Diceros bicornis minor: one gene and its partner. The main gene of each other region encodes a partner of the protein of the gene in region 2 in a complex. Links are inferred from orthologs where the notes say so. Each region holds a gene or a part of one and is shown on either strand. Other genes may lie near its edges.

Region 1 (7,902 bases), on a different chromosome or scaffold from region 2:
ATGGGCGCCCCCTGGTGGGGCATCCGGGCTCCAGACGGCATCCCGGGGCGCTGGGTGGGGGGCGGGAGTGAAGCAGAAACAGGCGCCCGCGGGTCAGACCACGGGCCCCGGCTCCAGGAGCAGGGAGCCGCGTCTCCCCCACCCCAAGCCCCCCGGCCAGTGACCCTGATGCCGCCGGCGTGAGCGAGGGGTGGGAGGGGCAGGAGCGCCGGAACCGCGCAGCTTTGGCGGAGGGGGCTTTGCGTCTGGCTGCAGAAAGCTAACTGAAGCCAGGCAACTGCACAGGGCATTGCCAGCCTCGGATTTGAGGAAGGTACCATGAAAATGAATATTTAACGGCGCCTTTTCAACCTTTTCAAAGAATGTGCACATTCACATGCTCCTCTGCAAGACAGACTGAGTGGGTCCTTCCATCTCCACTTGACAGATGAGGCAACTGTGGCTCAAGGAGAAAAGCGACCTAGCCAAGGTCACACCGCTCCTCCTGGCAAAAGCAGCCACTGAGCAGTCGTTTCCCGAGGGGCCAAGGGTTTTTGCCCTCCGCTGCTTCCTCTAGGTTAGGGGCTGAGGTCCCTGTTGCGACTCCTGCCGCCCCTCTTCCCATTCCCTGCTTCCCAGTCCACTTCCTGGACTGTCCTGCCTTGCACTCACCCTTCCCATCTTAACCTACTCTTCTCCCTGGGCCCCAGCTTTTGCCCTCTTAGTCCCAACCCCCACCCCCTTTGGCTGATTCCAAGTCTCCATACCTAGATGCTTTGCTGACTTAGCCCACTCCCATAATTTGCTCCCAAGGTAAAGGCTGGAGGCAGGGCTGGCAGCAACCTGAGTGAGCTGAGGCCAGACCCTGCCAGGATTCTCTGATTGGGAGGGCAAGGGACAGCTGGGCTGGGGGTGGGCTGCCCAGAGGGCTTGTGTAGGTCAAAGGCAGCAGCATTTTCTCTTATATCCATCTCTCTCTTCCTGTCTGCCTGGATCACCAGAGATGGTCCCATCCTACAGACTTTCTCTACTTCCCACCCCCACCCCAGGCAGGGCCCAAAGGGGGCCATGGAGAGGGAGACAAGCAGGTGTAGTCCCTAGCCACTGGGATGCAAGTTCATTGAGTGAAGTGTTCCATAGCCTTCTTAAACCTTACTTGTCCAGATTCCAGAAGAGGGATTGGGGAAGGACAGAGGGCTATAAAGTGGAGGGTGGGTGAGATGGGGACTGGGACAGGAGAGCAGGAAGGAGATTAGGGAGCAAAGGATGCAGACCCTGTAACCCTGTTATCATTTAAACACCACCCACTGCACCCCCAGAAGTGCAGCTGCCCCCAGGCACAAGGAGGAGCCTGAGCTTGGTGAATCCCTTCTAACTGCCAACTCTCCCTCCTGTCCCTCCTGCCCTGCACTATGTCTAACCCTAACCAATGCCCCCCCCCACGCCCCCCGCCAGCCAGCTGTCTCTGCCCATCTCTCCCACAGTGAAACCTGCCTGCCCACGTGTTGGCCTCCCCCACCCCACCTGACCTTGTCACTCACACTCCAGAATGGAGCCCAGGCACTGCCACTCCCTACGAGCACATATGGGGCACGGGGAGTGGGGCAGTGGGGCTCACAGCCACCCAAGAACTGAAGCTCTAAGTTGGCCAAATAAAAAAATCCATGTGCATAGCCGCTCTCCCTCCTAGATGGGCCTTTTTAAAGGGACTTCCCCAAGCAGCAAGGTTAGGACTGGAAACTTGGCTGACCGACACAGGCACCCCTGGGAAGTTACCCCAGAGATCCCCGGGGCTGGAGGACAGGCCGCCCCAGGGAAGCCCCTTTTCCCTACCAGATGCTCTCCCACTTATCAAGGACAGCGATACTCACTGATCTGCACAAGAGGCCCTGAGAGGGAGGCTCCCAGAGCCCCCAGAGAGCTGTGCCAGCCACCAATGAAGGGCCAAGATTCTAGGGACTCTGGCCTCCCTCACTGAGAACATGCCTTCCTTGGGGTCACAACCAAATTTGGCCATAGTAAACCTGACTGCTTCCTCTATACCCGGCTCCAACCCCAGCACCCATCCCAAGTCCCGAAGCCCCTGCCTCTCCCATTCCACTGCCCCCCACATCCCTGCCAACCTGGCCCCTGTTGCCTCAGCTTGAAGCTCCCATCCCCGCAGGTTGTCCTGGGCTCCCTCGGCTCCCTGCATGCCTTCCAAGTCTGCTCATGGCAGGACGTGCTGCCCTGCCCCTTTGGTCTCTAGGCCTTGTGTACCTGACTCCAGCCCTTCCTTCACACCTTTGAGGCATTAAGGACATCAGCTTCTGGTGGCGGAGTCTGCCAAGGGGATCCTCAGATCCCTTAACTTGGGGTCTGTCCCTAGAGAAGGCCTCTCTCTGACCCTGATGGCAGAGTCCATCAGTGAAGCCCCAGAGCCCTCCTGCCAGGATGCAGAGGTTGTTCAGCCAGAAAGCTTCCCGCTCACAGTGCCTCCAGGGTCACCTGCTCCTTGCTCCCAAGACACCATCAGAGAGACACTGTCCCAATGGATGAACAGACAGCCCAGCCCAGCCGATGCCATGTCCCCCACCCCCACCCTAGGGCAAGGGTAACACCTGGGCCCACAAGGAAAAGAACGGAAGACAACATGTCTGGTACCGAGGGGACCCCCACTTGAGGGGGCAGTCCCCAAGTCCCACCCCCATCCCCTGACAAGAACCCATGCAAACGCCTCCCTTCCCCGCCCGGACACCCATCCCTGGCCGGCCGCCTGACGACGTGTTCGGGTGCCAGGGCGCCAGCACGGTGGTGGCGCTGGGCCGCGGGCCCTGGCGCCCCCAGCTAGAGGGGTGGGAGAGCGGGACCCCCCTGCTGGTCCCTCCCGATCATCCCTCCATTCAGCCCGAGCCAGCTCCTCACCCTCCCCCGCTAACTTTCCCCCACTCACCACCCCATGGACCAGAAACTCAAAAAGTTTGCTTTTCGTGGCTTTGCGCGCCCCTCCGGCAACTTCGTCCGCGGCCATCGGGGTGGGCTCAGCGGCTCCTCTCACTCTCTCTCTCTCTTCCTCTTTCTTTCCCTTTTCTGCCTTTTTTTTTCCTCCAACTCTCCCCTCTGAGTCCTGCTGGGCTCTCTCACACTTCTACTCGAGCGGAGTGGGGAGGGGGCCCCTTCAGGGCTGCCCTGACGGCCCACGGCCCACGCCGCCGCCGCCCGCCCGCCGCCGCCGCCGCCGCCGCCGCCGCCGCCGCCGCCGCCGCCGCGGCTGCCGCATTCCTGCACTGATAAGACAGAAATAGTCCGGCGGCCCGGGGTCTGCCTGTTGACTCGGCGGGGACAGAAAAGCCTGCCTTTCCAACCCTCGCTGTCCAAACAGCGCAGATAAGCAGCGAGGCACGCCGGCAAGCCCGGCTCCTGGGCGCTGGGCAGCGCCACTGCAGCCCGAGGCTGCCCGAGGGCCGCGGGGAGGGGACGCGAGGGGAGGTGGCGAGGGGCTCGCCGGCCACCCGGGCTCTCGCCACAAATAGTTTCTCGGTTAGAGAATTCGCCGGCAGGGCCAGGCAGGGAACAGTCAGTTCCAACTTTCCCCCCAAGTGGCTCCTGCTGCATTTCTGAGGCCCTTTCCCCAGAGACCTGGCAGGCCAAGTAGGGAAACATTCTCTGGAAGGAATCCGGGGGGAGCCGGAGCCCAGAGGAGGCCTTCCTCCTGCACCAGGCCGGCAGTGGTGGGTGTGCCCAGCGAGGCGGTGTCCCCCTGCGTCCACAGATGTGTGCGCCCTTGTCTCGCCCGCCGTGTGTGTCTGCACCCTTGTGTGGGCACGGCGCGGTGGCTGTGGGTGTGGATGTTTATGTGCGTGCACAGACAAATGCCTTCTCTGTGTGCCTCCCTCCACGAGAGCCTCTAGTGCGTGCGCGCGCGTGCGGGTGCGTGTGTGGCAGGACATGGCCTGTGTCTTCCAGCGCCGTGTGAGTCTATTTCTGGGTATGTGTCTTTGTTTGTCTCTATGTGAGAAAGTGAGGGCAATAGGGGAAGTATTTCAGAAAGAGGGAGGTGGATTGGGCTGGCAAGAGCAGGAAGAGAAACATGGGGGAGGCAAGGAGCTGGGGTGGGTGCCTGGGTGGATGGGTGGAGGAAGTGAGGCAAGCAGGCCCTGATGGCTTTGGAATGGGCTGGTGGTGGGAGACCAGGGGAGCTGGGCCGGCTGGGTATGGTAGGGCCAGCCTCAAAACCCCAAAGAAAGCAGGGTTATGGGGTTATGAGGGAGCCCCAGAAGGGGCAATGCAGAGGAAGCTGGCAGTCCCTGGGGTACAGGAGGGACAGGAAACAGGAGGAGCAAATCCTGAGATCCCCAGGCTGGGAGCCCTGGCCCCGCCCATGCCTCCAAAGGCCACACCCCTCTCTCCTCCTGGAGGAGAGGCCCATGGCTTTGGGACAACAGTGGGTCAACTTTATGGGCCTCCTGGGGCTGCACTGTCAGAATCTAGGTGAGGATGGGGCGATGCCTGGGGGAATGTGTTGGAAAACTTATTTGAAGTTAAACCCTGCAGACCCAGCATTACACTGGGGAGTCCTGACCCTCAATGTTTCAGAATGCCTTCAGAGGTTGGGACAAAGAACCAAGGGAGTGTTCTGCTCCAGGATCCTTCTTTGCCTGCGGCCTGACTCCCTTGGGCCCTGGTTGTGCACCTGGCTGTCATTGTCCGTTTAGGTGCCCACTGTCAATCCCCTGAAAGGCCAGAGAGGACGTGTGTCCAGGACACCCCTCCTCTACGGCCGGCTTAGCAGGGGACCTAGAGATTCCATTCCTATTAAATCTCTACCCAGGCTTCCCCCTAGAGCCACACATACCGAGACTGGGCCCTGGTGGGGTGGGGATGGGTGGGCAGTTGCCATAGGCCATGAAGGTGGCTACTGGTAACCTGGAGAGGTAATCTCTCTAGTTTGTCCACTAACCTCTAAAACCTGTCACTCATTCCCATTTCTAAGCCTCTGCTCCAGCTATTCTTTTGCCTGGAATCCCTCTACTGCTCCTCTGCCTGTCCAGATCACATTCATCCTTTAAAGCCCATGTCTCGCCCCACCTCCCCCAGGAAGCCTTCCTGGTCCCACTCCTATGCACAGGTCTTTCTCTTCTCCAAATGCCCATTGCCATCCACCCTGCACCATGAATTGGCACTTGACTGACTAATGTCTGATGTGCCCTGTGGTTCACGTATATTAGATTTGGTTTCCCAAATAGGCTGCAGCTCCCTTAAGTCAGAGACCGGTCTTTAAGTCCCACTCTCCCCTCATGCCTGGACACAGGGACTTGACATGACCAAATGCCTGCTAACGCTTGCAACCACCCAAAGCTCAGTGGGCCAGTGGACCGAGCTCATGCTCTGACACTTACCTGGACGTGTGAGTCACCATGGGCACCCCACCCCCCATGGGTGCTTCTAGCATGAACACATGAACCCACAGGTCTTGGAGGTTCTGGGGGACTGGGCAGGGGCAGTCACCTCTAGGCTTTGTGTAAAGCTCAGAGTTCTCAACTCTTGGAGAGGCCTTTTGGGAAAAGAAGACAGCAGAGGAGGTGGATGGGCACCCCAGACTGGGCAGCTGAAAAGTTTGAGGGAAGGGCACGAAGGGCAGTGGGAACACCCAGCATTTGTGAGGGGCTGGTCTTGGTGGTGGAGGAGATTGCAGGAGGTGGTTAGACCAAAGGCTCTGGTGGTACCTGAGGAGGAGCCCACAAGTCATTCAAATCTATAGATAACCCCCTCCAGGGCCACCCCAAGACCAGGGCCTCCCCCTGCAGCCCCCTTTCTGGGAGACATTCTTATGTGTGCACAGACAACAGATATATAGTGCATACACGCCCCAAGGCACACACCAATGCAAACGCCAAAGGGACAAGGAGCCACGTAGATTTTCACACACAGGCACACCCTGATCACCTCCACATCCCACTTGCAAGGCCCAATTCACAAGGCACCCGCCAGCAGACAGGTTTGCATGCTGCTTTTACGGGGGCAACCCTAAGTGTAAGGACACAGGAGACCCTTCAGACTAGAAAGCAGAGGCGCCAGTGTGGATGTCCCAACCAGGACTCCCACCTCACACAGGCCAGGAACCCCGAAGTCTCAGCCCCAGAAGGGCGCTCAGCAGTGCCATGCCGCTGGCTCCTGCCGGTGGGAAGGAGGCCCAGGGAAAGCCCGATTCCAGCAGGCAAGGGGCTGTCCTCCAGGCCGGACCGGGCCCTTAGCCGCGGCCAACTGGCCCAGGTCGAGCTCCGGGCAGGCCGTGCGCGTGTCCGGGCACAGGGCGGCCGCCCGGAGGCCCGGAGCCGGAGTCCCCCCTGCCGTCCCCCCATCTCTTCTTCCCTCGCCGAAGCACCACCAGCACCAAATGGCAAAGCGCCTCTCCCCGCGCAGGGAGAGATGCGCCGCGGCCAGCGGGATGGGCTCGGCGCCCCCTCCCCCCACCATCACCGCGCCCGAGCGCTGGGGGCACGTCCCGGCCCGCGGCCGCCCGCCCTCACCCTCGCCCGCGGGGGCCCGGGACAGCGGCGGGAGCCGGCCCGGAGCCGGCCCAGGCATGCGCACTGCGGCCTCCCTCCCGGTGAAGGTCAGCCCAGGGCCTAGCTGCAGGACTCAGAGGCGGCGGGGAGAGGCAGAGGAGGGAGGAGGGATGCAGCGAAGAGACTTAACTCCTTCCCTGCGGGAAGACGGCCACCGAGGCTGGGGCCGGAGCCCGGAGTCCCACCCTCCCCGCCTTCTGTGGAGGTCCCATTACGGGGACCGGCTCAGGGGGAGGGGGGAGGAGGGGGAGGGAGAATGGAAGAAGGCGGCTAGGAGGAGAGGAGGGAAGCTGGAAGGGGAGAGGGAGGAAGGCAAGGGAGGAACAAAGGAAACCAGACTGAAGGGAGAGACCTCTTCCCGCTGCCCCTTTTCCCTACACCCTACACCCCTAGCAATAAAGCCTTCCTTAGCAGAAAGACATCGCGTGTGAGTGTGTGTGTATGTGAGAGAGAGAGGGAGAGAGGGGGAGAGAGAGAGAGAGAGAGAGCGAGAGAGCGAGCGAGCGAGCGAGCGAGCGAGCGAGCAAGTGAGGCCACCTGGAGCTCTCAGGCTGCGGACCCAGTGATTTCTATGTTCTGGCGCATCCCTAAACCCAGCCCCCACCTTCTCCTTTGGTCACTAAACCCCAGGGCATGCCAGGGGCCCCAGAGGCAGCTCTGACCCAGCCTACCTGCCTGGCCTAAGTCCCAGGCCCCCAGGGAACCCTGGCTAGACCAGAGATGGGTGGAGGGGAGTCTGCACCTTAACCCCCACCTCTAGTGAGGGGCTTCCTCCAGCCAGCAGACAGGACATTGGCAGACCAGACCAAGGGCTTTGTGGCACAGTCCTCCTCCTCCTGGCTACCCTCACTACTCTTCCCAGGCCAGAGTAGCGCTGCGTACCTCCCTCTTTGTGCAAGAATGTTTCCGTGCCCGGGACACCCTCTGCTACTATCGAGGGGGCAGTCTGTCTCTCTGTGACTTCACCTTTCTGTGTCAGTTTTGCAAACGCACACAAGAGAGACAAATAGGATAGAAAGAAGCAAAAAACAAAGAAAAAGTAGGACACCTAAACAGTTGTGTGACCTTGGGCACCTCGCTGGACCTCCCTGCCCCTCAGCTTCCTCAGAGTAAAAGGAGGGGTGTAGTCAGAGGATTCCTAGGGCCTTCCTGCCTTGAAATCCAAAGATTCCATAAGACAGAGACAGGAACCAAGACAGACGAGGCAGGAAGGAGAGAGAGACAGAGACACAGAGAAACAGGCCCACACCAAGTAAGGGGTGCTGTCAACCCGCAATGAAGCCTGGACCCTGTCACCCACACCACCATGTGGTCAGCCTCCTGCCAGCAGGGCAGGGCCTTGCCTTGGGGTCCAGAGGCCTGCAGGATAAGCAGG
Region 2 (7,680 bases):
TACCTAAAATAGGCAAATTCATAATGACAGAAAGTAGACCGGTGGTTGCCAGGGGCTGGGAAAAGGGGAAATGGGAATTTTTATTGCTTAATGGTTACGGAATTTCTGTTTGCAGTAGTGACAAAGTTTTGGAAATGGATGGTGGTGATGGGTACACAACACTGTGACTGTAATTAATGCCATTGAATTATACACTTAAAAATAGTTAAAATGGTAAATTTTATGTGTATTTTACCGCAATAAAAGAAAATTTTTTAAAATGACACTGAATAGCAAAAGCAACTTTGATGTCACACTGTAAAACACAAAAAATACTCTACAATATTTATAATTACCTTTGCCAGGGCTGGGGGGAGGGGAGGAGGAAGCTAATGCAGAGAGGAGAAACATAGCACAAAAAATATTATTAAGCAATAAAATAACAGTACCCAAGATCTTGACTTGAAGTTTCACAACTCCTAGAGCTATCGCCTGAGCCCATTCGCCTCCTTTTGGATGGCTGGGTCCCATCATTTGAATTATCTTCATTATCATCCTACACATTTAAAAGATTCAAAAAATAATAAAAGAAAAATAAGAAAAGAATGATTATGTATCTTCCCAAACTTGCTAAGAAGCTCAACTTAAAGGCTTTCTAAGGACAACTGGTTACGCAAATGTTAACTTTCTATTATAATTAACAGGAGACAAGAATTTAGCATGGGCAAGACCTGGAAAAAACTAAAAACTGATCTTCAAAACAATCAAAATAAGAAAATTTTCAATTAACCTGTAAATCTAAGTCTACTTTCGCTTTCTTACCAACCAAGGTTAAAACGCCTTCTGCTTTAAATACACACATAAAATTGCTGGAACACTCTAAAATTAAAGCAAACCCTCCTACCCCAGCCAGGAAAAAAATGTATGGATCATTTAGTGTTTAACTCAACTTACAGCTGGCTTATAGGGCTATTCTAATCAGCTATTTTAGATACTTATATCCCTGTAAAAAGAGGACATACAAGAACTAAAAACAGGGTACCAATCCTGTTAAATTTTTTTCCTTACATTGCAAAAATTTAGCAGAACTATATCCTAGTAAGAATCATCAATCTATATAGCAACACACACCTTCCCCCAAAAAAAGGAGAGGCTTAAAATTTTTTTAAGTGACTTTATCCATTATGTAACAATATTAAGGCTGTAAGGTGGACCACTGCATTAAGGAAATAAATGAGGTATAAAATGTTAGGAAATTAATTTATTCACATATTATTTAGCGAAAGCTTAATGAATATAAGCCTTAAAAAAGCAGATTTTTTTTAAGTCAAGGTAACGTAGCTTTCTAAGACTAATACAATTTTGCCATGGTTCTCTTGCTACATATTAAAAGGAAAGCAATCCTGCAGAAGAATATAAAGAGGTAGTAAGGTATACTCATCAGGCACGCCAAAGCTGGACTGCCTGGGATATTACTGGGCACTGCCCTTCACTAGCTGAGTAGTTATCCTCTGTGAGCTGCTCCTTATCTGTAAAACTGAGATGATAATAGTGCCTGTGTTACTTGGCTAAGGCAAGGATTAAATGAGTTAATAAATGGGAAGCACTTAGAGCAAGGCCTAGCAAATAATTAAGTGCCCAATAAAAATTAGTTAATATGATTACGATGATACTTAGAAAGTTTCAAATGGCTCCAGCTGTTAGGAAGTTACTCAGATTCCTTCCCAAATAGTAAAATATACAGAATATTCTCCTTTTCAGTTCTTATAAAATAAGCATTCAATTAAAGAGCTCTGTATGTTCCTATTAAGACAAGCAACCAGACAGGAGATAGAGAATAGTCTAAATCTATTTCACCAAAATTTACACTTAACAATAAGTATCACAATTGAAACATTTCATCTTCAATATTTCAGGCATAACTCCTTCTAAGCATTCAAGTATCATTTTTTTCTATTTTACTGGCTTCTGAGCATTTTAAGGATTTTTACGTCAATTCATTTAAGTATATTCCCCTCGGCAAAAAAATCGAAAAGAGACAAAAAGTTAAAAACACAAAGCCCTCAAAAAAGCTGAAACCACAATTTCATACGCAGTGTTTTGAATCTGCTATTACAAATTCTAGGCAAATGCATTTGAACATTAGCTGGCTGACCTTTTCCTAGAGAGATGTAACAGCAATATCTTTCCTAACTTATGATAGAATACAATTAAGTTAAAGGAATTTGCTTGTACCTTCGATACTGATACAGAAGTCCGTACTTAAGACTGCCAGATCTACTAAATGGGAGTCACAGGTGGTTCCCACCTTCAGATTAGACAGGTTCCTATCCACCACGAGGTTCAGATAAGTCCTGCACTAGACACGCAGTGGGGAGGTACGCTGAGCGCTCCCCACGTGCCAGGCCCAGCACTGACTCTGGAAGCACAATGGTGGGGATTAAGAGCCTTACAGCCCAGTCACTTGCATAGGTTCGGGCACTTGAGAAACCCTCAGAAAGGAGAGTCTTTATTGTGCAGCACAGAGGATACAGGGACAAGGCAGGAGCAGTCTTGTGGGAGGGCAACAAGAACTTGTTCCTACTGTCAACACACTCAAGGCAAGAGATGGGTCTTAAGTGTTCTACTTCCCATTATCTTCTACTTTCAACTTTTCAATGACAATTCAAATTTTGAGGTTTTTAGAAATCACTCCTCCATTCCAACCTTCCGTCACAAACTAGTAACTTTAAAAACAACTGTTTTAATGCATGACATTCCACTGCTCATCTTGGTTTTTCTCCATTCATCTTCGACTTCAGAAACACTAAGTCCTTTCTACCTTCTGAAAACAGTACCAACTACAATTTTTTTTAAAGTTTCACTGAAAATATTAGAATGGCTGTGTATTAACTTAGTAATAAACTGAGTCCACTGACTGAACACCTATCTTGTTTGCCCCAGTTGTTTATGCTCTTTGCTCAGAAGAGTTCCCATCCCTCCGACACCCCTCAGACGAAAGATGTCCTAGACCTACACACCATCCTAGACTAAGGAGAGGAGACTCCTTCCGTCTGCAGCGAAAGTGGTGTGCCCACAAGAAGCCCACCACTGGCTTCTTGGAGCGAGCTCTGGGGAAGCTGCCCGGACCCCGGGACGCGGGGACACGGGGAGGCCGGCTCCTCACCGGCCACCCTCACAGCGCCGGGCTGACCGGCCCGGGCCCTCGCGCTGTCCCCGAGGGCCTCCCGACCCGGCCGAGGCCCGTGGGGGGTCTCCTCAGCCTCCTCCCGCCTCCCGGCGGCGTCCAGCCCTCCGCAGCCCCGCGGCGCGCGTCCTCACAGCGCGACTGAGGCGGGAACCGCGCGGCCCCCGCCCGCCACCCCCTCCCGCCGAGCGGCGCCTCCTCACCTTCGGGGACTGCGCTCCGGGGGTGGCCGGCTCGCTGTCGCACGGCCGCGGGGACAGCGCCGTCCCAGGGCCGGCCGCCGCCGCCATCAGCCCGAGCGCCCCGCGCCGCCGCCTCCGCCGCCGCCGCCGTCTCGTCCCGGCCGCCGCCGCCGCTGCCGCCGCCGCCGCCGCCGCCGCCGCCGCGCGGGCCGCCCGCCGCCCGGGCCCCGCCCCCTCCGCCCGCCCGCCGCCCGGGGGCCGGCCCCTGCCTCCGCGCGCCCCGCGGCCCGCCAGCGCCGCCGCCACCGCCATGGCCGCCGCCAGCGCGCCGCCTCGCGCCGCGGCCGAGGGCCGGAAGGAGGACGCCGGCGGCCTCGGCGCGCCCGCCCCGCCGACCCTCAGCGCGCCCGCCCGGCGCCGGCCGCAGCCCGCCGCTCCCCGCGGCCCTCAGCTGCCCTCGCCGCCGCTCCCTCTGCCGCCGCCGCCGCCGCCCGCGGCCCTCGGCGGCTCCGCTCCCCTGGGCTCCCCGCCGCCCTCGGCCCTCGGCTCCCTTCCGCCGCCGTCTGCCTCCCCTCGGCTGCGCCCGCCCGCCGCTCCTTAGCCCCGCGCGATCCCCGGCCCGCCGCACCCGGCGCGCTCCGCAGCCCCACCTCCCGCCGCTCCCCTCGGCCCCCAGCCCCGCCCCGGCCCGCCGCCACTTGGCGAGCTCGCCGCCGCCCCCTCCCCGCGCCCCCGGCCCGGCCCCTCCGCACGTCAGCCCTCTCCTCCCACAGCGTCCCGCGGCGCCCAGCCCCGCCCCTCCTCCCAGGGGTCCCTTCCTCCGCCCCCTCCTCCCGGGGTCCCCTCCTCCGCCCCTTCCCCAAGGGTCCTCGCCCCTCCTCCCGGGGGTCCCCTCCTCCGCCTCCTCCTCCTTGAGGGTCCCCGCCCCCTCTCTCCCGGGGGTCCCCTCCCCCGCCCCTCGCCCTAATTCCTGGGGGGTCTCCCCCCGCCGTGGCTGTGTCACGGTGGGCTGTGAGGGCCCTGGCCCATTTCCTCGTGTTCCCGGTCCGCAGTCGCCGCCCCTCGCCAGCCTTTGTTCTCTGCTCGCGGCCTCCCGCCCTCTGGAGCTCCTGAGCTACCTGCCATGGGATGAGTACTTCCCAATGACATCCGCCGCTGCTTTCATTTGCAAAGTTTTTCTACATCCGCCTCAGAGCGTGCCGAAATCTTAAAATGTAAAAGTAGCTGAAATTCAACTTGCATGCTTAGGATTCTGTGTGTCGGAATGTAATTTATGCAGCAGCTTCCACCGAAGACAGTAAGATAGCGCGGAGAGAGAAAGAGAGGTGTTCTGAGAAGGCTGCATGGAAGGCTTCCCAGGCTGATCAACAGCAGGAAAGACAAGTGGCAACAGAACATTTGGGGACCATACTGACCTCCAGTCATATTCTGACTCCGCACAGCCTTGACTCCTCTTTTCTCATCCGTAAAATGGGGAGATCCTGAATCTTCAGGATTGTTGTAAAGAGCATAGAACAATGGTAGGCCCACAAAAGAAAAAGGGAGCTGTTTATTGAATTGAATTTACTCTTAATCCTAGTTCTTAGGCTTCACCTGGTCACTTCTAGGACTTCACCAAAAATAAAAAGTTAGGAACTGAACCTTAAAAGAACACATGGCAGATGGCTGTAGTAAGATGACAAGGGTGCCAGAAAGTCATTAAAGTTGACCTCTCCGCAGACACTTTATTATCTGAGAGTGTCTATGACTTGTTTCAGGCAATAGAGAATGTTCTTGGATTTAGTGTATGGCTTCCTTTTCATTCATTTTTTTTGCTCACACTCAGCAGACACAAGTTTGGAAAGATCAAACACAGGGATTATTTCTAGCTCATCACATTAATACAAACGACCTAATTTGACTCTCCCAGGCCACCCTATCCTGAGTTTCCCACTTGCATCAGATCAGCAATGGCATCACCAACAACTTAAGATTCCCAAGTTGCTCCTTTTTAGACTTTGCTTTCTTTTGCATCCTCAGTCAGACCAGCTGCCCATTTCCCTAACAAGAGCCCACTGAAGAAAATGGCCCATGTGAACCCAACAAGAAGAATCAACATTTTTCCGCCAAATTCTCTTAACTGATCAAGGCCCTTAGTCAGATTCTCTGGATAGAGTTTAATGTTAAGAATATATAATATATATGTTCAGTTATTTGGTTCTACTCATTTCCCTCAGGCATTCTGTCTCTAGATCAAGTACAAATTTAAAACTCTTCATTCCAAGTCAACAAAGACTGACTCAGCCTTTCAACATGCAAGGAAGGCAGAATATTAAGGCAGCACTATGTGGATTACAATTCCTCCCTGTAGGCAGTTTCAATGTTGAAAGAATATGATACAAATTACAATTGTATTTAAAAGTGGTTTAGGTGGGAGAAAATTCACTTGCAACTAGAAAATTTAAGATTTTAAGGTTGACACAGAATTTGAAAACTATCTTAAGATACTAGTAGAATAGCTACAGGTAAATGTACAACTGGAAGTGGAAATAGGATTTCAAGCATGAAAAAGATTGAGAGGTGGGAAAATAGGAGACATGTTCAGGTACGTCGATCACTCCAGTTTGGCTTGAGAATAGAGTTAATGAAGGCAGATTCTAGGAGTTAGGGATGAAATATGCAGGGAGGCAGTATGATGTAATGGTGAGAAGAAACATTTGGAGTTAAGACTTGGGTTTGAATACCAGCTGCGCCACTTATTAGCTGTGTGACCAGGGGAAATTATTCAATCTCTCTGACCCTCTCCGATTCCTCGTTTGTAGGATTAGAATATTAAAAGGAAAACCACAGGCCCAAAACAGTGTCACATGTGCCAAAGCCTATGATACAAACCTAGAAATGTCATCTTAATTGGCCAGTCTAGAATTTTTTGATCAGCACCAATGAGATCATCTGCCACTTGGGCCCTCTCCATCCCCCATCCCCCCCAGAGGAAGAAGAGGCAATCTGCAAGATAAAACAGTTTCCAGGTACCTTCCCTTCACTTGCCCCACCCTTCTTCCTATAAGTATAAAAAACCTTTCATTTTGTACAACTCTTCAAAGTACTCTTCTAGTTGCTAGAGGGGATACTGCCTGATTCATGAATTGCCTAATAAAGCCAATTAGATCTTCAAATTTACTTGGTTAAATTTTGTTTTTTAACAATAATAATCATGTCCATTCAATTATTTCACAAATAGTTCATGGAAATGAACTATGAGCTAAGAACTGTTAGGTGATAGAAATACAAGGAATAATTTAAGGAATGATTTATTCATTTTTTCGTCAAATACTACCTTATTATTTATTGTTAGGCCCTGAGTTAGGCACTGGCAATACAGTGGTGAAGAGAAAAAGCCATAAGCCATGGTCTCTGTGTGAGACCACTTAGAATATGGAGATAAAGGTGAGAAAAAGGCCCCAGACCAAGAAGTCTAGAGATACTTGTGGAAATAGGTAGAGAAGGAGAAGGAAGTGTCAAGTATTGTAAACTGAGAGGATAGAGTGTTTCAGAAAGGGAACCAGTCAACTATGTTGATTGAGAAGTTGAGTACCAGGAAGACAGAGATATGTCCATTGTATTTAGCAGTGTGGGGGTAATTAGTGTGGGAGATGAAGATTTGGCCACCCTGAAATCTATCTCTTTACCTTGGTTGTTTTCTCTGAGGACATTTGACCTCCCCCACTAACTGCCTAAAGAATTTGACATGGTAGCTCCTTCCTGGAATAGATCTATCATGATGGCTGTAAAGATAACGTAGGGTAAATGTTAGAATAGGAAAGGCACCAACAAGCCCCTCTTATCAGAGGTTCTGTCTCTCTGGCCACATTCTCTGGATGACCCTGCGAAGAGTTGCCAGACAATCATTTACATTTATAAGGGAAATCTCCACTTGTAAAGGTATCTCCCTCTCTGTTTGGAGAAGAGAGGGGGATGAGCGCATTTCTAGTGACTTGTCAATGTGGAAGGTGAGGCCTTGAGCTACATAATAAACCTTACTCTTGTTTACTGTGCTTTAGTGGTAATCTCCTGTAACTGACTCCCCCCACCGCCAAAATCCTCCTTTGTCATTGGCTGAAAAAGATATTTAAGACGAGAATTTCTGCTATTGTGTTGAGAAACGCAGTGTTCCTGCTTTCTCCCATGTATACATGTTATTAAACTTGGTATTATTTTCTCCTGCTAACCTGTCTTGTTGATTATTTGGCCAGCCAGAGGAACCTTAAGGGAAAGGGCAGAGGGAGATTCTCCCTCTTCCCCCGACAGTCTTGGCGAGCCAGCCAGGAGCCGCACTGGCTGGCAAGTTGCCTT

What was found.
Region 1: PHF10 (region 2) and SMARCD3 share a complex: the UniProt entries of both Homo sapiens proteins name them as parts of the neural progenitors-specific chromatin remodeling complex. The link is inferred for Diceros bicornis minor from reciprocal best matches to the Homo sapiens genes PHF10 and SMARCD3.

Annotation. Positions count from the first base shown.
Region 1 is NC_080742.1:96,903,913-96,911,814, forward strand, and holds the start of SMARCD3 (SWI/SNF-related matrix-associated actin-dependent regulator of chromatin subfamily D member 3), read right to left. Parts: upstream 3,123-7,902; 5' UTR 2,990-3,122; coding exon 2,912-2,989; intron 51-2,911; coding exon 1-50. UniProt on the Homo sapiens protein: Involved in transcriptional activation and repression of select genes by chromatin remodeling (alteration of DNA-nucleosome topology).
Region 2 is NC_080778.1:2,203,290-2,210,969, reverse strand, and holds the start of PHF10 (PHD finger protein 10), read right to left. Parts: upstream 3,483-7,680; 5' UTR 3,457-3,482; coding exon 3,370-3,456; intron 536-3,369; coding exon 429-535; intron 1-428. UniProt on the Homo sapiens protein: Involved in transcription activity regulation by chromatin remodeling. Belongs to the neural progenitors-specific chromatin remodeling complex (npBAF complex) and is required for the proliferation of neural progenitors.